4 linked regions of the Arabidopsis thaliana genome follow. The protein of the gene in region 1 interacts with the protein of each later gene in a pairwise test. Each region holds a gene or a part of one and is shown in the gene's direction. Other genes may lie near its edges.

The links.
Region 2: the proteins of AT3G07480 (region 1) and GAMMA CA2 interact in a two-hybrid assay, tested with the Arabidopsis thaliana proteins (one large-scale study listed by BioGRID).
Region 3: the proteins of AT3G07480 (region 1) and KLCR2 interact in a two-hybrid assay, tested with the Arabidopsis thaliana proteins (one large-scale study listed by BioGRID).
Region 4: the proteins of AT3G07480 (region 1) and EXO70E2 interact in a two-hybrid assay, tested with the Arabidopsis thaliana proteins (one large-scale study listed by BioGRID).

Annotation. Positions count from the first base shown.
Region 1 is NC_003074.8:2,386,874-2,390,360, forward strand, and holds AT3G07480 (2Fe-2S ferredoxin-like superfamily protein), read left to right. Parts: upstream 1-1,829; 5' UTR 1,830-2,152; coding exon 2,153-2,632; 3' UTR 2,633-2,950; downstream 2,951-3,487. Other genes in the region: AT3G07470 (transmembrane protein, putative (Protein of unknown function, DUF538)), read right to left, coding at 418-471, 1,015-1,470.
Region 2 is NC_003070.9:17,319,009-17,325,271, reverse strand, and holds GAMMA CA2 (gamma carbonic anhydrase 2), read left to right. Parts: upstream 1-1,787; 5' UTR 1,788-1,924; coding exon 1,925-2,039; intron 2,040-2,187; coding exon 2,188-2,331; intron 2,332-2,591; coding exon 2,592-2,717; intron 2,718-2,819; coding exon 2,820-2,971; intron 2,972-3,588; coding exon 3,589-3,888; 3' UTR 3,889-4,371; coding exon of another isoform or gene 4,372-4,854; 3' UTR 4,855-5,701; downstream 5,702-6,263. Other genes in the region: AT1G47265 (uncharacterized protein), read right to left, coding at 474-704; PAF2 (20S proteasome alpha subunit F2), read right to left, coding at 4,372-4,854, 5,702-6,052. UniProt on the Arabidopsis thaliana protein: Enzyme involved in the catabolism of H(2)CO(3) but that does not mediates the reversible hydration of carbon dioxide. Mediates complex I assembly in mitochondria and respiration. Binds HCO(3)-.
Region 3 is NC_003074.8:10,379,726-10,385,019, reverse strand, and holds KLCR2 (Tetratricopeptide repeat (TPR)-like superfamily protein), read left to right. Parts: upstream 1-1,770; 5' UTR 1,771-2,180; intron 2,181-2,361; exon of another isoform or gene 2,362-2,395; 5' UTR 2,396-2,426; coding exon 2,427-4,207; coding exon of another isoform or gene 4,208-4,211; exon of another isoform or gene 4,212-4,296; coding exon 4,297-4,507; 3' UTR 4,508-4,790; downstream 4,791-5,294. Other genes in the region: AT3G27950 (GDSL-like Lipase/Acylhydrolase superfamily protein), read right to left, coding at 5,249-5,294.
Region 4 is NC_003076.8:24,551,993-24,557,581, forward strand, and holds EXO70E2 (exocyst subunit exo70 family protein E2), read left to right. Parts: upstream 1-1,751; 5' UTR 1,752-2,619; coding exon 2,620-4,539; 3' UTR 4,540-5,051; downstream 5,052-5,589. Other genes in the region: RPA70D (Replication factor-A protein 1-like protein), read right to left, coding at 1-23, 129-275, 522-649; ECT3 (evolutionarily conserved C-terminal region 3), read right to left, coding at 5,493-5,589. UniProt on the Arabidopsis thaliana protein: Influences the subcellular localization patterns of other exocyst complex proteins (e.g. SEC5A, SEC15A, SEC15B and EXO84B) leading to their recruitment to exocyst, well-defined large punctate structures throughout the cytosol.

The DNA of each region.
Region 1 (3,487 bases):
CAAAAACAAAGCAGCCAGATATTCGGTGAAAGAGAAATGATTGCAAATTGCCAATTTTCTATAACACTTATTTGGCTAAATATAGGATTTATTATATCTGTTTTAGACATGACACAAGAATACAACACAAAACATTCATCACCTCACAGTTATCATCACTTCAACAAAATCTGGGCCATCCCTTTAGCATCTTTTCAAAACCACAGATTCTCTCCTCGGTTCAGTCCCCGGCCTAATCTGAGAACGAATTACAGAAGCAAAACTGGAATGGGGAGGGAAAGAATGAAGCAATTTGATTTTGAATCATGCCTAAGATTTGAGACCAAAACAGTTGAAGTATCTTCAAGAATTGATTGATGAGAACATCTATCTTCCTTTCTTTCTGGTATGGTATACAACAATTCTTTAAAACTCTTGCTAAATGATGTTTCTCCCAAGATTTTGATCTACTCGGTACAATGGCAACTCAACCTGCAAGAAGACCCATTGAGCACACATTAGCTTATTTTCCATTACATGATTGAATCTGATCAATGCAAAACTTTCAAAACCATCTTTCCTAGTTCGAAAGATATTCCCAATTTCACAAGTCTAACAGTTCTTCACCGATAAAAAAATCTCAACCAATTCAAGAATGGAGAACATAACCCTAAAAAGGAACAATCTTTCCTAGCTCTAAAGATAATTCTTCATGTCACATGTCTAACAGTTCCTGACCAATCAAAAATCGCAACCAAGTCAAGAATGGAGAAAAAATGACCATTGAAAGGAATCTCAAAAGTTTCAGATGATGACGAATGAGATAAGCTAAAAAAACTTTGAAAAAGGATTCTCATTTGAATTCTTAGTGGCAAGCCTGAAACTTGTGAATATTCAAAAGCTCGACATTGAAAAACCACAAAATCCAGCGATAAGAACATTTGAATTATCTCTATTCACACTATAGCCCATTAGTATCCTTCAATAATTTTCAAGAACTTTAAAGGTTCAATTGAAAAAACTCATTCTGCATACCTTGTGAATCCCACGAACCGGAACGCAATCTCTCGGAGTCTCGAACAAAGACAAAGAATATTGCTTTCGAACAACACCAACGTCGAAGTATATAAGACCAGAACTCGGCACGTCGACTCGGATTCCTTTAACCGGAAACCACAAGAATAGCTCTTGCGCCGAGATTCCAGACAAATCAGAGATTTGAGCAGAACCTATAGTCCCCGTAATATTGGCGTCGTAATGTATCTCAGTCTCGTATTTAGCCTCGCATGCCTGATTCAAATAAACCGAGAATCGTCCCGTTTCGACGTCGAAGGTGAATTCTCTGACACCTTTCGGGAATATCCCCGAAGGTAATCCGTTTGCCAGGAGGATCTCGTATATAGTCTCAGTCTCTGATATCGCCGTGGAGATCGAGATCCCGGCGACGAGAACGAGACATAGAAACGCGATTTGAACAATACGAAGCATCATCGGCTTATTCTTCCCGAATTCACGGTTTGTGATTTTGACAGATCTCTCTCTGCTCGTTTATCAGGAAATTGAATTAATGGGTTTAAGGGAAGACGAAGAAGGAGAAGAAGAAGAAGACGACATTCTGGTGACAGCTTGAAACAGAGTGGATCAAAATTTTATCAAATTATTGAAGGCGGAATTTGGAATGGAGCAGTAATCTTGTGCTTCTCATTCCATAGATGGAACAGACCAATGAACGATAGCCACGTCGGATGTGTGTCCACCAAGCAGTATTTAGTTAAATGTGGCTTGTTTCGTTAAGCCTTTGGTTCTAACTTCCTAAATTTCTTACGCGTTATTGGAAAAAGTAGGTGGACCGTATCACATGGGAACAGAGTGGATCTGGCCGGACTTGCGGCTATTCGAATGTTTATAGATTTTTTTCTGTCTTAAATGCCTCATAAAATACATAGAAGCAATGTTTTCTTCAACCCAAACTAAACCAAACAAAATATTTGGATTAATATTGACCGGTTCGATTGAACGGTCCAGTTAGAAATTTGGGCTTGTAAGTATGTAACTTATCTTTGGGCTTATAAAGAAGCCCATCTCCAAATTAGCGTTTCACCCTCACTCACTTTTCCGGTTTCAACCATTAGCACAAAAAATCTGAGCTCCGACCAAAAATTGGGGAACGACGATGGCGACGACTCTTCAGAAACTCTCCTCTCAAATCCACCGACTCTCTCCATTCACCAGATCTCTAATCGTTCGCACATCCGCAACGTCTGCTCCTTCTCCGTCTCTGGGATCGAAGAAAGTCTCTGACCGAATCGTCAAGCTTTCTGCGATCGATCCCGATGGATACAAGCAGGACATCATTGGACTCTCTGGCCAGACTCTCCTTCGTGCGCTCACTCACACTGGTCTGATAGATCCAGCATCGCATAGATTGGATGACATCGAGGCTTGCTCAGCGGAGTGCGAGGTTCAGATCGCAGAGGAATGGCTCGAGAAGCTCCCGCCGCGTACTTACGATGAGGAGTATGTGCTGAAGCGTAGCTCTAGATCCCGTATCTTGAACAAGCACTCGCGTCTTGGTTGCCAAGTTGTGTTAACGCAGGAGCTTCAAGGTATGGTCGTCGCTGTCCCTGAAGCTAAGCCTTGGGATATTCCGTAAGTTTTTGTTCTTGAGGATCTCATAAATGTTGGGTTCGTTCTCAATTTGGCTAATAAAATTCGCTTTGGAAATTTCGGTACTCTGAAGATAACTCCATTTGAATCTGTAATTTTCGTTTGCTTACATTTAAATTTTGTAATGTGGTAAAGAACTCTGCTTGTTTAAACGATTCCCTGCTTCAAGTATGGGTGAATGTTGTTTTCTTGATTTCATTTTCGTTGCTTCTTCTTCCATTAGATTGGTTAGAGACTATGGTGTTATATCTAGAGATTGGTAAAAGCAATTGGAAAATGCTAGGAGGTTATTGAACACATTGTGTTGAATTGTGGTTACCTGGTGTTGATATCTGTTGGTCTCGAGCTCAATTTGCCAACAGCTTTAAGCATAGAGAAAGAGAGTATATAGAATGATGTGACTTCTTAGTACTGGAATGAGATTCTTTTTACAGACCATATAGTAATCTTCCCGGTTTCGGTATGCTTAGGATTAATAGGCCATCCTTTATATTCTCGGGTCTAATTGTCTAAGGAGGTGTTTCCGTTGAGTTAGAAGAATTAGTGGAGTTTTGATCTTTCATTCTCATAACCACTGCATCTTTGGTGAGGCTGAGATAACATTAAATATACTCTGAGCATTGTAATCACAGTTTCTGCTTTTAGGGAAAGGGAATAAGGTAGAATGGATCTGGCATCTTATACCAATGGTTTAGTAGATTTGATTTGAGCCTTGTAAACAGAAACTCTGTTTGTAGGATCGATTCTTGTTCAGGGTTTGATTCAGTAACAAAACATATTGAGTATACTGTTTAGATATTATTTTCCTACCAGTAGTTTCTAAACACAGCTTAGGCATCTT
Region 2 (6,263 bases), on another chromosome or scaffold:
TTACAAGAATATTAGTCTTCAAGCAAATAACCTTACTCAAAGAACTCAAGCTTATGTTGATACCGGATCGCGCACGACAAATCCATCTTACGCATCCAAGTTCCATCACTTTACAGAGCAAAGAATGTACATCTTGCATAAGAAAGGTGGTTAAATCTTGATATTAATTTGTGATTAAATTTATGAATTAATGGTCATGGTTTAAGGAGTAAACTTGCCATTCAAGTTTACGAATTAATTATGAGAGTTATTTTATGAGCTAGATATGTACCTAATGGCCAAATAAAGATACATAGGAGGAAGGAAAAGACTATAAAGAGAGGTGGAGACCCTAAGAAAAGAGACTCCATCTTTTTTTTTGTAAAATGGTTTTCAATGTTATAAATAAGGTCCAATGGACTATTTCCGGATTTAGGCTCATACATTTTCCCTTAGACTCAATCCACTTACATATAACCAGACTAAACCATCTATTACAAAACCGATCTAAACCGAAAGTTGAAAATCCTAATCTCATATCGTAAAACACGATCTGAGCCGCCGTCCAAGAATTGCAGAATCTCACCGGAACAGAAACCCTTTGGGGAGCCTAGACGAGATTCGTCGAACGGAGATGGTAATTCAGGATCCGTTGTCCTCCTGCCACCGTAGAGCAGTTTTGAGGAGGAAGAGGCGATCCGGGTTGCCATAGTCATGAATCTCATAGCTCAGTCGAGAGAGTTGACGGCAGTAGTGAGTAGATCTCAAGACCATCGACGGTGGTAAAGCCTCACCGAAGCGGAGTCGACCTCCCCCATCAAGCGGCGACCCAATGAAACCTCCAGAATCTTTAGACTTCCGACCTAACCGCCGTCAGCCCTTGTTCTTCACTGTGAAGTCTCATCCTTCCTCTCCGTGAAGCCACACCACCGATATAGCTCTTACCGACAGTGTCTCGCATAATCTTCTCCCCTCCACCAGGGCCAACTCAATATATTCTCTGTCACTGTACAAATTTTCAAATTTAGCCCTTTTATACTAAATATTTTGAGTTTGGCCCTTACATTTAGTTAAAATTTTATTATGGCCCTCAGATTTAGTCAAAATTATCTTTTTGACCTCAAATTTGATAAATTTTTTTATTTTACCCTTTAATTTTGATCAAATAATTTTTGGATCCTGTGCAATTGCTCCTCTTGCACTCCCCTAATGCCGCATTTGCCCTCCACTGCTCCCTTGATTTTGAATAGATTGAATTGCCGAGAAGATGTAGCGGATCACGGTTGAAGCACCATGTCCCAATGGGTTTCTTCGTCGCTGGAGTCAACGAAAAAACTTATTGACGGAACAAGAGATTGTGATTATAAGAAGAAAAAAATTTGAGAGAGAAATCGCCCACGCGTAAATATCACTTGCCCGACTTCTTTCTAGTATAACTCCAAGAAAAACACCCAAGAAACTCCATCTTCTACATTCTTGACCCCATTTTAGATACAAACAATGTTTTTTCCAATCCTTATACTAAAAACTATTTCTTTGCTTTATGCAATACTTCCAATATCCAATGCACAATATAAGCTAATATCTCTATTTTTATCTCTTTATTTTCTTTGCTAAATTATATTAATTATTTTACTCATTTTTGTGTTTGTCTCCTGAAAGCTTTGTTCCATCTCCTTACATTGCAAAACGAATCTATCCGGATTTTGTATTCACAATCTCTGTAAGTCCAACCAATAAATTTCGGTTTGGTTTAGCTTACCAGTTACCACTCCATACTCTAAAAATTTAGAGGTCAACAAAATAAACGAACTCACTCGAGTTAAAAAAAAAAATCCTCCCATCAATACGCCTCCATAAACCTCTCTCTATCTGGTGGAGCGACACCAAAAACAACAAAGCCTTCTCATTTTCACACTTTGGGTAATCGGAGAATCACAAAAAAATGGGAACCCTAGGACGAGCAATTTACACTGTGGGTAACTGGATTCGTGGAACTGGTCAAGCTCTTGATCGCGTTGGTTCTCTTCTTCAAGGAAGTCACCGTATCGAGGAACATCGTAAGCTTCCAGATCCTTCCACTTAATACTCTCTATTGAAACCCTAGATCCAATTCGTTATCTCTAATTTGTGTCTTCACCTTTGATTGGAGAAATTTGTGGCTTAGATTGAAAAAATTTGATTCGAGAAATTTGTGTTTGTTTTCAGTGTCGAGGCATCGGACGTTGATGAATGTGTTTGATAAATCACCATTGGTGGATAAAGATGTGTTTGTGGCTCCGAGTGCTTCTGTTATTGGTGATGTTCAGATCGGAAAAGGCTCGTCGATTTGGTATGGCTGTGTTCTTCGAGGTGAGGCTTTATTACTTCTAGAAAGTCTTAATGGCCTTTGGTTCGATAGAAGTACCAAATTTTGCAGCAGTATATTGTGCAAAGTAGTCATAGTTTAGTTTTAGGAAATGAAGTTCTCTTTACCTTCTAATAATCTTGTATCGCTGTTATACGTTACTGTCCTGATCATTGGACATAGATTTATTGTACTGTCGATAAAATGTGTCATGAAGTAGCTGTGAAACTTATTGTATGTTAATCTGGGTTTCTAACTTGTGCAGGTGATGTGAATAACATCAGTGTTGGATCTGGGACGAATATCCAAGATAATACGCTTGTACATGTTGCAAAGACCAACATAAGTGGCAAGGTTCTACCTACTCTGATTGGGGACAATGTAACAGTAGGTAAACCTTAAAAAGCGATTTATCAGTTTTGAAGTATCTGTTTTTATGTTGTGTTACACGATTGTTAGTTAAAGGTTTTGTTTGTAAAATGAAACGGAGCAGGTCACAGTGCTGTCATTCATGGGTGTACTGTTGAGGATGATGCTTTTGTTGGTATGGGAGCAACACTACTTGATGGTGTGGTGGTTGAGAAACATGCCATGGTTGCTGCTGGTTCTCTTGTGAAACAGAACACGCGAATCCCTTCTGGAGAGGTTTCTTTCTTTCCACTTTATCTTTTCTGGTTTACTGCTTACGGAGTTTGTGATAAGACTGGAACTGGAAACTGCTTTATTTCTCACTAAACTGAACGAGAAAATCCAAAGTATCAAGAACCAAAAATAGAACTCTAGCTAGGTTTACTTATCACGGACCCTGAAGCTCTACCAAGCCTAATAACGAACTGCTAATTAACCAAGTAATAGCAGCTGTAGTCTGCTGCATTTAGTCCTACGCTGACCTGTAGCTAAGGCTTGACCAGCTGAACTTCTTCAAGTAGATCCACTTTTGCTTTGCTTACAATTTAGTTGATACAGAATTAGTTAATGAAATGATATGCCTGTAAATTGTATTATATTTTGATCAAAAAGAAGAGTAAATAGTATTTATATATCGTCTAAATCTGAGAACCACCTTTGTTTCCGTTGCAATTCTACTTGTATATGAAACAAGGGTGAGTTGGGAGTAACAGAGGGTTCTTGTGTTTCCAATGTTTTATGAGGAATTAGACGGATTTCTTATATCGCTATGCTTTTGAACTACTTTCTTCAACCGTCAACCTGAGAATATATTTACAAGGACATATCTATAAGTTATCAGTTTCATGTGGCAGGTGTGGGGAGGAAATCCAGCAAAGTTCATGAGAAAGTTAACAGATGAAGAGATAGTATACATCTCACAGTCAGCAAAGAATTACATCAATCTCGCACAGATTCACGCCTCAGAGAATTCAAAGTCATTTGAGCAGATCGAGGTTGAGAGAGCGCTTAGGAAGAAGTATGCACGCAAGGACGAGGATTACGATTCAATGCTTGGGATTACCCGTGAAACTCCACCGGAGTTGATTCTTCCCGACAATGTCTTACCAGGTGGTAAACCCGTCGCCAAGGTTCCGTCTACTCAGTACTTCTAATTCCAATCTCAGGTTGTTTTTGTGTGTTGAAATCATTTCAAGACAGGATTGATTCTCTGGAAGGTCAAGAGAGATATTATTTTGGTTTTAACTTTTCTTCCGAGCAAGCAGGAGATTTATCATCCTTGCTCAATAATGTATGGTTGCATTATGAAGTCATTTCTTCGAGGAACAATTTGCAGAAAGAGAAACAAAGTTGGATTAATCTTTCATTCTTTCTCTCGCTGTTTCTCTCATTCAAAATGGTGTCTGTTTGATACACTCTCTAGGTTGGCGATTCGCCGATTATTATTATCATGTGACAGATTTGACTTAAGTAGGACTAAACATAAGCTAGTGGCACTCAATAACTCCTTGTTCCAAGCTGTTAAATAAACAAAGCCGAATAAAAACCACAATTGTACTTGGAAGTTGGAACATATCAAAGAGCTACACACAAGAAAATTGGTTAGAAAATCCAACTTTGAACTCATTCCCTCTTGCTCAAATTTCCATTGGTGCAACATCTTGATCACCTGAACCACCTTGTTCACCAGTTCCAGCAGCACCAGGAGCAGCTTCGGGTTCGGCCTCACCCTCACCAGCATCTTCCTCTTCCTCAGGAACCTTCTCAAACGTATCAATCACCTTTTGAATGCTTTCCTGGTCCAAGAAATGGAATGGTTCATCGACTCCTAGAACAGAAACAGTGCAGAGCGAGCTCTTCAGTGTTTCCCCTTGCAAAGTTTCCCTTATGGCCATAATAGCATCTTTTATCAGATCTTCTTTTGATGATTCTTGGAAGCTCTCGAATTTGCGCTCCAGATAGGTTTTCGCAGCTTGTGAACGAGACCCGATAGCGAATGCTTGATATTCAAAGTAGTTTCCGCTAGGGCAGTTGTAGTAGAGGTGAGCTCCTGACTCGTCCAATCCACCTACCAGCAAACCCACACCATAAGGCCGTTTCCATGATCGTTGGGTACATACCTGCTCAAAGATAATTTATGAAGATGTTTAATACAAGACAAACAAATGACTTAACATTTGAATGAAATCAGAGTGTTGTTCAAACTACAAGACTGATATCAATACGTTCTCAGAAATCAATTGAAAATGTAGATACAGCAGCTAACTTAATTTTTGACAGACATGAAAGTAAGTGGGACGTAGCAATCAAACCTTTTAAAAATTGTGAACACATCATCTAACTTGAGAACACTACGTTTAACACCAAAAGTAGTGAACATGTAGCACAAATTTCTATCACAACTGTAAACCAACATCTTACTGAAAATATACTTCATTAGGCAAGTAAATAAAGTGGCCAGGACATACTACAACTACAAGTAAGTAAACAAATGCAAAGTAATACAAGTCAAAACCACAAAACCAAAAAGAGATCAACAAAGACGTATATTTATTCTAGAATTGCAAGCAAAAACAACTCTATCAAGCAAAGAGAACAGACGATGACAACACAGAAACAACCAAACGACCAAAATCATCACATTCTTATACACTTCTATCGTCAAAGTGGGTATACAGGTTAACTCTTTCTAATCGGATTAAGCAACTAGCAACAGAACTGGATATGATTAACAACACAAGAATCTCTAATTCCCAATCACTAAGACTTGATCACAAACCAATATCACTACTTGCATAACAACACACACATTCTACAAATAAAATTGGCCACATTGCTAATAAAAACCTAAACTTTACTCCAATTACATAAAGCTTCAAACTTTCAGATACTCACACATCATAAAACTAAACCCTTTAGCAAATTCTAGGTCAAAATTCAAAAGTTAACCCAAAAATCTCAATTTACCTGAGCTTTATCAGCAAGATGAACAACAAGACGACCAACAGGAAGAGGAGACTCATAAGTAAAAGAGTGATTAATAGACTCAGATCTCATATATCGAGAGAGAACACGACCATCAGCAGTGAGACCAGCAATAGCAACACCAATATGATCATCGACTTTAAAGATCTTCCTTTGATGAGAAGAGAGCTCTGATTGTGCTTTGTTGACACAAGCGAGGACGACATGAGAGCGAGATCTGAGTCCTATTGCTGCGGAGCCTTGTTTCACAGCTTCCATGGCGTATTCGACTTGGAATAGTCGACCTGTGGGACTCCATGTTGTCACATCTGTGTCGTACTGGTTCCTGAACATCTTTCTTCTTCTTGTTCCTCTGTTCTTCAAAAGCTTTTCGTTTGCTTCAAGCTAGAGGAGGATGGTCTCTCTTATAGAGCTTAGAAGAAGAAAGTAAAGATTGTCAAAAAAAAGAGAAAGAAGACAGTAGAGTAAAATGGGCTTATGAAACTTAATGGGCTGGGTTTAATTATCCATTACTCTTTATTATTTTTTACACATTTAAAAGGAT
Region 3 (5,294 bases), 8.0 Mb from region 1:
AGAAAATTTTTATTTGTTAGACAGTTATTGTACAATTCAATGACTGATGTTGTGGCAAATTTGTCAAAATTTATCAAACTTTTGTCAGAGATAGTATTTGACAAATTTGTCAAAATTATATACGTTCTGACCTAAAATTTTCGAAGAAAACAAAAACGTGTTGGTAATATAAAACGCGTAGGAATTTAGAAAACCAAATAATTTGTGAACAGATAAGATTTGATATGGGATTCGAGCGGCGAAAGAGTTAAAGAAAACAGCACCGCCCAACAGTCGTCAATGATTACAATTTGTTTTCAGTTCATAAATTAATCCAATGAATTGCTTATGAACTGACGATAAAAAAGAATTGCTTATAACTTTGTGAATAGGAAATAATAAAGTATTTGTGGTTACAGAGTTGTCTTTATGCAATATACAAAAATAAAAATCCGAAGGAAGAGACGTTGTTAGGTCTTAGAATTATGAACAAACGTGTGGGTTGTCTCTGTCTCTTGTAAGAAACCAAGTCATACATAATTTGCATATATAATATGACCGACCAACCAAATAATATAATGTTATGGGCTCTTAACAAAAACATATATAAATAGTCATTTCGTTGTGACAAGAAAAAAAAAATAAATAAAAATAATAGTCATTTCGATATTTTGTTGGTTGGCTAGTGAAAAAATTGCCTTAAGCGCATTATCGTTTTTTCACAATAAAATTGACTCATGAAATATGGGAACGAGAGTTCTATAAAAATTACATTTTGGGTAGGCCCTACACTGATGACTATAAGGGCCCATAAAGCCGTAATGGGCTTAAAGGTGGACCACATCTGGACCATAAAACCAGGCTGTCTAACTGGTATGCAGCTGTAGTCCACGTGTCATATCATTTCGTCATTAAGAAAAATTCTTACTAAATTAGTGATTCAATCCTTTAAATCCAGTGGTCCAATTTTTCTTTCCATAAAGAGTTAAAGACTATACTAAAAAAAAAACACTGCATCATTATATCAATCAAAAGGCTAAATTTTTAACTGTTCACGTTTTTAATATTACGTATATAGATTAGAGATCATGGGATGATCATTAGAGATAATTGATGATTAAGTATGACACGTGGCGGAATCTCAACGGTACTTATTATACAGCTGTGAATTTGTAGGGTTTGACGTAGACTTGTGAATTGTGATCTTTCCCCAGCATTTAATTAGCTGGCTAATTAACCTGCAAAACTCAATTTTTTTTTGTTCTAATTTAACTCATTAAATCCCTAAAAAATTGCATTTCAAGGAAACAATATTTCTTTTAGGATAAATAAGAAAAATAATTAATTCTTAACGGGCAAAACTCAAACTTTAACTTTAAAAAAACAAATTCATGAAAAAATTGCATGTGAAGGAAACAATATTTTTTAAAAGTTTTAATTAAAAAAAAGGTAATCTTGAAATGGATGAAACATTCATTTCATAGTGTTTAGTTTCCAGAAAGAATCTCGTTTTTTTCTGCTGTAATTTTTGGGGAATTATTTTTTATCTGTCGGTTTTACTTTTCCTTCTTTGAAAATTTGTAATTTTCTTTGGTTTCACAGCAAATTTTTAATCAAATTTTAGATGATAAAAAAAATGGATGAGACATTCATTATTATTTTTCAAAGAGATAAATTTATTTATAAAATTGAGGAAAAAAGATAAATTATTTAAAGAGAGAGTGCAAGTAGGGAAGAAGTCATCTTCTTTTTATTGCTTCAAGAGTCAATCATCTTCAAACCTAATGATCTTCAAAAAAATTTCTGGTTATGCATCTCTTTCTTGAAAAAATAATCATATAATCACATCAAAAAGAGTCAATTATCATCTTCATTATCTTAATATAATCAATCAATAATTCAATTTAAAAGGTAAATTAAAGTAAGCAATGTAGACCCAAAAAAAAAAGTCTGCTTTTGTTTCAAAACATATAAGGACAGTGAAAGGGTTTGTGCATAAATGTTGTTGCTTCATCTTTCTCATAACATTAGCTATGAGATTATGAAAGTGAAGATATAAAACAAACACCTAAAAGTGAAAAGTACAAGACACCAAATCCTTCATTTTCATCTCTTACACAACCACACTAAGTTACCAAAAAACAGAATCTGTTCTTTTTTTGCCTTCTTGCAGATTTCTTCAGAGTCAAAGACACATAAAGGTTCGATTTTTATCTCTTAAAATCTTCAAAGTTTTCGTTTTTCTTTTCAATTTCGTTGAATTTGATTCTGGGTTTTGTTCTCTGTTAGTAACTGAATCTATGTCAGCTTTAGATAATTCTAGTTAGGGACTTATGGTTCTCAATTTCGAGTCTTTTGATGTTATCTTGTTGTTTTAACGGATTTGAATCTAAAATCTTGGTCTCCATTGATTCAGATTTATAATTGAGTTGTGAGTTTTGGAGGCCATGGACGTAGGAGAGAGCAATGAGAGGGTAAAAGACGATTCTGCCCTTCAAGCTTCACCGAGGAGTCCTCTGAGTTCTATAGATCTTGCAATTGATGGAGCTATGAATGCTTCTATTGAGCAGTTGTATCATAACGTTTGTGAAATGGAGAGTTCTGATGATCAGTCTCCGTCCAGGGCGAGTTTTATTTCGTATGGAGCTGAATCTAGGATTGATTTGGAGTTGAGGCATTTGGTTGGAGATGTAGGAGAAGAAGGAGAGAGCAAGAAAGAGATTATCTTGGAGAAGAAGGAAGAAAGTAATGGAGAAGGTAGCTTGAGTCAGAAGAAACCTCTTTCGAATGGTAAGAAGGTTGCGAAAACGAGTCCTAATAATCCGAAGATGCCGGGTTCGAGGATCTCTTCGAGGAAATCACCGGATTTGGGGAAGGTTTCTGTTGATGAGGAGAGTCCTGAGCTTGGTGTGGTGTTGTTGAAGCAAGCCAGAGAGTTGGTTTCTTCAGGTGAGAATTTAAACAAGGCTCTTGATTTAGCGTTGAGAGCGGTGAAAGTGTTTGAGAAATGTGGGGAAGGAGAGAAACAACTTGGGTTGAATTTGGTGATGTCTTTGCATATCTTGGCAGCGATATATGCAGGGTTAGGGAGATACAATGACGCTGTGCCTGTTCTTGAACGTTCTATCGAGATACCGATGATTGAAGATGGTGAGGATCACGCGTTGGCGAAATTTGCAGGGTGTATGCAGCTTGGTGACATGTATGGTTTGATGGGTCAAGTTGAAAATTCGATTATGCTATACACCGCGGGTTTGGAGATTCAAAGACAAGTTCTTGGAGAATCGGATGCACGAGTTGGCGAAACTTGTAGGTACTTAGCGGAAGCTCATGTTCAAGCAATGCAGTTTGAAGAAGCCTCAAGGCTTTGTCAAATGGCATTGGACATTCACAAAGAAAACGGTGCTGCCGCTACAGCTTCTATTGAAGAAGCTGCGGATAGAAAACTGATGGGACTTATCTGCGATGCGAAAGGTGATTATGAAGTTGCGCTTGAGCATTATGTTTTAGCGAGCATGGCAATGTCATCTCAGAACCATAGAGAAGATGTTGCTGCTGTAGATTGCAGTATTGGTGATGCTTACATGTCGCTAGCTAGGTTTGATGAAGCGATATTCGCATACCAGAAGGCTTTAGCTGTGTTTAAGCAAGGAAAAGGTGAGACTCATTCCTCTGTTGCTTTGGTTTACGTTAGGCTTGCTGACTTGTACAACAAGATTGGGAAAACACGCGATTCCAAATCGTACTGCGAAAACGCTCTCAAGATTTACCTAAAACCGACTCCAGGAACTCCTATGGAAGAGGTTGCGACTGGTTTTATAGAGATTTCTGCGATATATCAGTCAATGAATGAACTTGATCAAGCTCTTAAGTTGTTGAGACGGGCGTTGAAGATATATGCAAACGCTCCAGGTCAACAGAACACGATTGCAGGTATTGAAGCTCAAATGGGTGTGGTTACTTATATGATGGGAAATTACTCCGAGTCCTACGACATATTCAAGAGCGCGATATCAAAGTTCCGCAATAGCGGAGAGAAAAAAACCGCTCTTTTCGGGATTGCTTTGAATCAGATGGGACTAGCTTGCGTTCAGCGTTACGCGATCAATGAAGCTGCAGATTTGTTTGAAGAAGCGAAAACTATTCTTGAGAAAGAGTGTGGACCGTACCATCCCGATACATTAGCGGTTTACAGTAACCTTGCTGGAACGTACGACGCAATGGGAAGGTAAATTTGGAACTTAAAACAATTTTCTTGCTAGGTTATGTTTTTTGGTATTTCCCTGCGGTACAAGCAATGTGTTACTTGCTTTACAGGTTAGATGATGCTATAGAGATATTGGAGTATGTTGTTGGGACAAGAGAAGAGAAGCTCGGGACGGCAAATCCCGAGGTTGAGGACGAGAAGCAGAGGCTTGCTGCGTTGTTGAAAGAAGCTGGAAGAGGAAGGAGTAAAAGAAACAGAGCACTTCTTACCCTTTTGGACAACAACCCTGAAATTGCAAATGGACAGAGACCGGTTTATTGATTAACCGGATTATTGTCCGGTCTAAAATGTATATATATACAAAATACAAGTTCGAATACGGTACTTACACGGTCGAGGGAGAAGGAAAAAAATGAAGAGGCTTTATGTTTTCTAGTTTTATAAAAAGTGAAGGAAAAAAAAAAAAATCTTGCATTTGTTTTCTTTATAAATAAAATGTAAAGAGTAAAACGCAATTGATTTGGTCGTTTTGTAATGTGATTTACATTGAAATTTTGGAGTTTAAAAATCTCCTTGATGGCAGTTTCTCTAACTTTGAGCACTGATCTTGAGTAAACAACAAGTGTTTGGTTACTAAAACATCTTGTCTGGTCTTGTCATGTAATGTTCATGAATGTCAACAAAAAACAATAACCGAATATACACATACATATGTAGCATGAGAACATAAAGAGACGACCCACCGAATCAAGAAGTTGTCACTTAGCAAAGCAACAAAAGAAAAGTTGTCACTAAGCAAAAGATAATCTGAACTAAGCGGTTTAAAATTTCTTACCAAACAAGTTACTGATTATTTGATATAGTCTTTTATATAATAACTAATATGATAAGATGTGAATAGAAACATTCTGCTTAAAGCTGCATATATTGTAACCAATGACTTTTTGAAGAAAATTTTACATTGATTCAAAAACAAAAAGAGAGATGTGAATAGAAATTTTGGCTAGTTACTTGAAAGCACCAGAAATATGCTAGACATTTATTAGTTTATATCATGGCAACTTATTTTTTCGTGAGTTTACATGCTTTTTGGGTAGGGAGAGGTGGA
Region 4 (5,589 bases), on another chromosome or scaffold:
CACATTTAGTCACAAGGAAATATCTGACACAGAGACAATAGAGAAACACACATGTTAGTAACTGTTGATTTCAAGAATCGAACCAGAGTGATTATCCATGTAAAGAAGAAGCAAAAGAGAAGTCTTACTTTGTAGATTTGCTTGAAATGTCGTTAACAGTGAAATCAATGAGACGAATTAGACCCAAGTTCTGGATCTTCCCAGAAATGATTTCAGGTGTGAGTGAAGCAGTAAACATTGCTTTGACTTTCGTCTTTCCGTCATTTGCACTAAATCTGTCAACCAAAATCAAAACAGATCCATCAGAACAAAATCGGTAACTAAAACCCAAAACTAGGCAATATACAAACTATTATCAACAAACCCAGATCTCTTCTATCATAGAGTCATCAAAGTCGTTGCATATCATAATCTAGCTATACAATTGTGATTGAGAGAATATAACACTGACCTAAAGCTGGAACAAGCGAGATTTAAGAAATCAAGTAAAACCCAGATCATGAAAAGCCAAGGAAACTTACGTATAGCGATTGCCGATAGGTTTAAGATCCACAACTTGAACAACGATCTCAGATCGATCGGAAGACGAATCAAAGGATGGGTTTGACAAAACGGTGGAGATGGCATCTGGGGTCACCGAAGTCTGCATCTTTCTCTCTAGATATTGAAAAATGAAACGTTTGGTTTCTCTTTAATCAGAATGGTGAAAACTAAAAGCCGTGAGATAGTGAGAAGAATGAGAGAGAGGTACGAGGGTTTTTGTAAAGGAGAGAGCTTTAAGCGGGAGCTATTAAATTCGATTAATTGTTCCCCCGCCGATTTCAATTTCTATTTTTTTGGCAAAAAACTCTTACCGCTTCTTTTCAGTATCTTTCCATTTTTTTGGCGCATTTTGTTTTGTTTGATAATGGACTTTGTATGCGAAAGAAACTGTGTTACAAAAGCCTTTCACTTCAGGCCCATAGTTTATGGTTTTGTTTTTATGTGTGGGTCTTGAATCCACCGTATCACACGTTATGATTCATAAATATCTAAAATTTATTTCCAACAAATACAATTTTTTTGTTTCTTAAAGAACACATACGATATTATTATTTCAGAAAAAGATTAAATACAAAATCCCCAGGATCAAAATCAAACACCAATTCCAGATTAAACAATATCAACAATCTTTAATGTTTTTGACTTTTTTTTTTCTCTGAATGTTTTTGACAATTGAAAAAAATAATTCTACGCATTGCGTGAGGCAAACATTTAAAATTTTAATTTATATAAAGAGAAAATTTATACTTCTTGACTTGGGAAAAAAAAACTTGCTGAGGTCCTTACTTGATATGAGCTGTCAACTACTAGTGTGAGCCGTACAAATATAATCGGACGGTTCAGATCAATACATTGCGAGCCAGTCAAACTTCAAGTATTGACTAATCAACATCAACGTTTATTACACTAATTTATTATTGTACCCCTTATTTTCCAAAAACATAATACTTTTATCCCTATTGTATCCAATAGCTCTAAAAAAATCCACCATAAAATGTGTTTAATGAAATTCGATTATCTCTGACGACAACATTATCAAAAATCAAGACAAGAGATAGAACATAAAATGTTCAAATTCGTAAAAGTAATTGAAACAAATTAAATTCATTTCGAAGTTTATTAATTACATTTTGACCCCCAAATTTAAGTTAATTAGACTTACCATCCCCATGGTTTTCGTCCCGCCATATGGGGAAGTCAATGGACGAATCAATCTCAATTAGATTCGGGGCGGCCCAAAAATTTATCATTTTCTAAACCTTTCGTAATCTACGAAATTACGGGATCGCCTTCGTTGGAATACTAATTCCATTTTTCAACTTTGTTTTTATAAATACAGTTTACGTGCACCACAACTTTTCTTCTTTCCCTTCTTCTTCCCCAATAATCTCGCTGAAACTCTCTTGCTCTTGCTTCTAAAAATCTGTTCTTTGAGACTTTGATCACACAGTTATCAAAATCATAATCTCTTCTTTCCTGGTTTTTTTTTTTTTCTTCTTCTTCTTCCCGTTTCACGGTACGTTTACTCTGTTCGATCACCGAGTGTATGATAAAATGTTTCTGTGAAATCAAATAACATATCACTTTCTAATAAACATCAAAATTTCTCCTTTTTTACAGAAACAAGAAGTTTTTTTGGGAAAGCCGTTGACTTGACTTTTTCTTTGGGGTGTTGTGTGGGAGCTTATAGTATGGTACCATAAGTGGGAGCTTATAGTTTGGGGTGTTGTGTGGGAGCTTATAGTATGAGGAAAAATGTTAGATTTGAAGAATGCTTCACTGATTTTTTACCATAAGTATGTCAACTGGATTAAGCTTAAGTAGTAATGGTTTTTACTATGTTCATGTGGGGATTTCTCTTCCTCTCTGTTTACTTCATTCCGAGATGACTTGAGATTTTTTCAAAGTATAGTTCTTGGAGTTAAGCTTACCTAGTAATCACTTTATATAACATCCCTTCGTTTACATTTGTGCTTTCACCTGGAAACACTTTAGACTTTTCTCTCTTCTGCCGTGTGTATTTAGTTGTCTAGTCAAATTTAAGTTGAGTTTAGGCTCTAGTCTTTGGTTTTGGTTATGGCAGAGTTTGATTCCAAGGTTCCTGTTTCCGGAATGAACAATCATGTCTTTGAGGCATGTCACCATGTTGTTAAGGCACTGAGGGCATCTGATAACAACCTGGATGCCAATTTGAGAAAGCTCCTAAGTGACCTAGAGATGCATTTGTCAACATTTGGGATTGCTGATACCAAAGTTGAAGATGCAGGATTCTCTGAGATCAAGAAGAGATTCAAAGAAGCTGTGAAGAGAATCCGCAGTTGGGAGACAAACCAGTCGACGATGTTTGAAGCTGGTCTGTCTGAAGCTGATCAGTTCTTTCAAGCCCTGTATGACGTTCAAACAGTTCTTGTGGGTTTCAAAGCTTTGCCCATGAAAACTAACCAGATGGAGAAAGATGTTTACAACCAAGCTACGGTTGCTCTTGACATCGCGATGTTGAGGCTTGAGAAAGAGCTCTGTGATGTTCTGCATCAGCACAAACGGCATGTACAGCCTGATTACTTGGCTGTTAGTTCCCGTAGAAAAGATATTGTGTACGACGAGTCCTTTGTCTCCCTAGATGATGAAGTTATTGTCGAAGCTTCTTCACATGAAGATGATGAACAGATATCGGACTTTTATAATTCTGATTTGGTTGATCCCATCGTACTTCCTCACATCAAAGCTATTGCAAACGCCATGTTTGCTTGCGAGTATGATCAACCATTCTGTGAAGCTTTCATCGGCGTTCAAAGAGAAGCTCTGGAGGAGTATATGGTTACTCTCGAAATGGAAAGATTCAGCTGCGTTGATGTTCTCAGAATGGACTGGGAGGATTTGAATGGTGCAATGAGAAAATGGACAAAGGTTGTTAAGATCATTACTCAGGTCTATCTCGCCAGTGAAAAACAGCTATGTGATCAGATTTTGGGAGACTTTGAGTCAATTTCTACAGCTTGCTTCATTGAAATCTCAAAAGATGCAATTCTATCACTCCTCAACTTTGGAGAAGCTGTGGTGCTGAGATCTTGCAAGCCAGAAATGCTTGAGCGCTTCCTTAGTATGTATGAGGTTTCAGCAGAGATTCTCGTGGATGTCGATAACCTCTTCCCCGATGAAACAGGCTCGTCTTTAAGAATTGCATTTCACAACCTGTCAAAAAAACTAGCTGATCATACAACCACAACCTTCTTAAAGTTCAAAGACGCAATAGCCTCAGATGAATCCACACGCCCCTTTCATGGAGGCGGGATTCATCACCTGACCAGGTATGTAATGAACTACTTGAAGCTTCTCCCGGAGTATACCGACTCACTAAACTCACTGCTTCAGAACATACACGTTGACGACTCCATCCCCGAGAAAACAGGAGAAGATGTCCTCCCTTCGACATTCTCTCCAATGGCTAGACACCTCAGGTCAATCGTCACAACTCTAGAATCCAGCCTTGAGCGAAAAGCTCAGCTGTACGCAGACGAAGCACTGAAATCCATTTTCCTGATGAACAACTTCCGTTACATGGTCCAGAAGGTAAAGGGATCAGAGCTGAGACGCTTGTTTGGAGACGAATGGATCAGGAAGCACATTGCAAGCTACCAATGCAATGTCACTAACTACGAGAGATCCACATGGAGCTCCATACTCGCTTTGCTCAGAGACAACAACGACTCTGTAAGAACCCTGAGAGAAAGATGCAGACTTTTCAGCCTTGCATTTGATGATGTTTACAAGAACCAAACCCGTTGGTCAGTCCCTGATTCAGAGCTCCGCGATGATCTTCACATCTCGACCTCTGTCAAGGTTGTTCAGTCTTACAGAGGATTTCTTGGAAGAAATGCAGTTCGCATAGGCGAAAAACACATCCGATACACTTGTGAAGACATTGAGAATATGCTCCTTGATCTCTTTGAATGTTTGCCATCTCCAAGATCACTGCGCAGCTCTCGTAAGAGATGATGATGATGATGACTTGAGCCTAATGGACTCCATCTTTGTTCTTTTGATCTTTTGTTATTTACTCACTTATGCAATGTTTTGTGATTGCTTACATGCAAATAAAGTTGTAGAATTTTTATACTCCATTGTGGGGATGTAATAGTAATTGGCTATCTTGTCACTATGTCATCTTTGACATGCTTAATACAAATTCAATGTTTAAGTCGGATTTAACATTTATAATGACGATGGTTTTTTGGTTAACTCTATGGACTCATCTGATTTAACTGAGGTATGGACTTGGGCTATTTGACTAGGAGATATCTTTGGTGACTTCTTACTACTACTCACCTCTGTATTCTCTGCTGGATTTTGGCATATGCAACAGCAAAGTGTTGTTGATGGAACAAGTGAAGGAAGTGAGCTAGCAGTGGAAAGAAGACTGGGCTGATTATGAATGTCAGTAATGACGTCTCTCCCCAGTCAAGAAGATAACTAGAGAATTATGCTTAGAAGATTTGATGGTAGCCTTGCTATTCTCCATCTATTCTCATCTTCGGAAAATTGTCTAAACTATAGTACCCTTATGTCCAAAAACCTACAATCTTCTGTCAAAATATGAGAAGGAACTTTTTTTGGACCGTTTGATTCCTGCATTCGAGTATGAAGCAGATGCCAAATGTTTCTCTTACTTGTCTTGCCTGAAAAGTTATATAAAACTGAATAAGCTGATTCAATACCAATCTTTTACCCATATCCTCATATGTTGGACCATTACTAAAGGGATAGAGAATAACTGCAAGATGATGAATGCTCATGCCAAAACTTCATCTACTAAGCCACTACCCTCTCAACTCGGTTCCAAAAAAAAAAAAAAAAAAGTCTGCAAATTCAGGAATGGAAACAAAACTAGAGAAACGCTCTAAATAGCCTAAAACAGCCCACCCAGTTCCCACTTAAAACCAAAGGTTGGTTCAGCAGGCAGTAGCAACAGCATTTTTCTCCACAGGTAACTCGGTCTCTTTCACCACTTTCGATTCTTTAGTCACTTCAGCCGCAACTCCTAGTGCT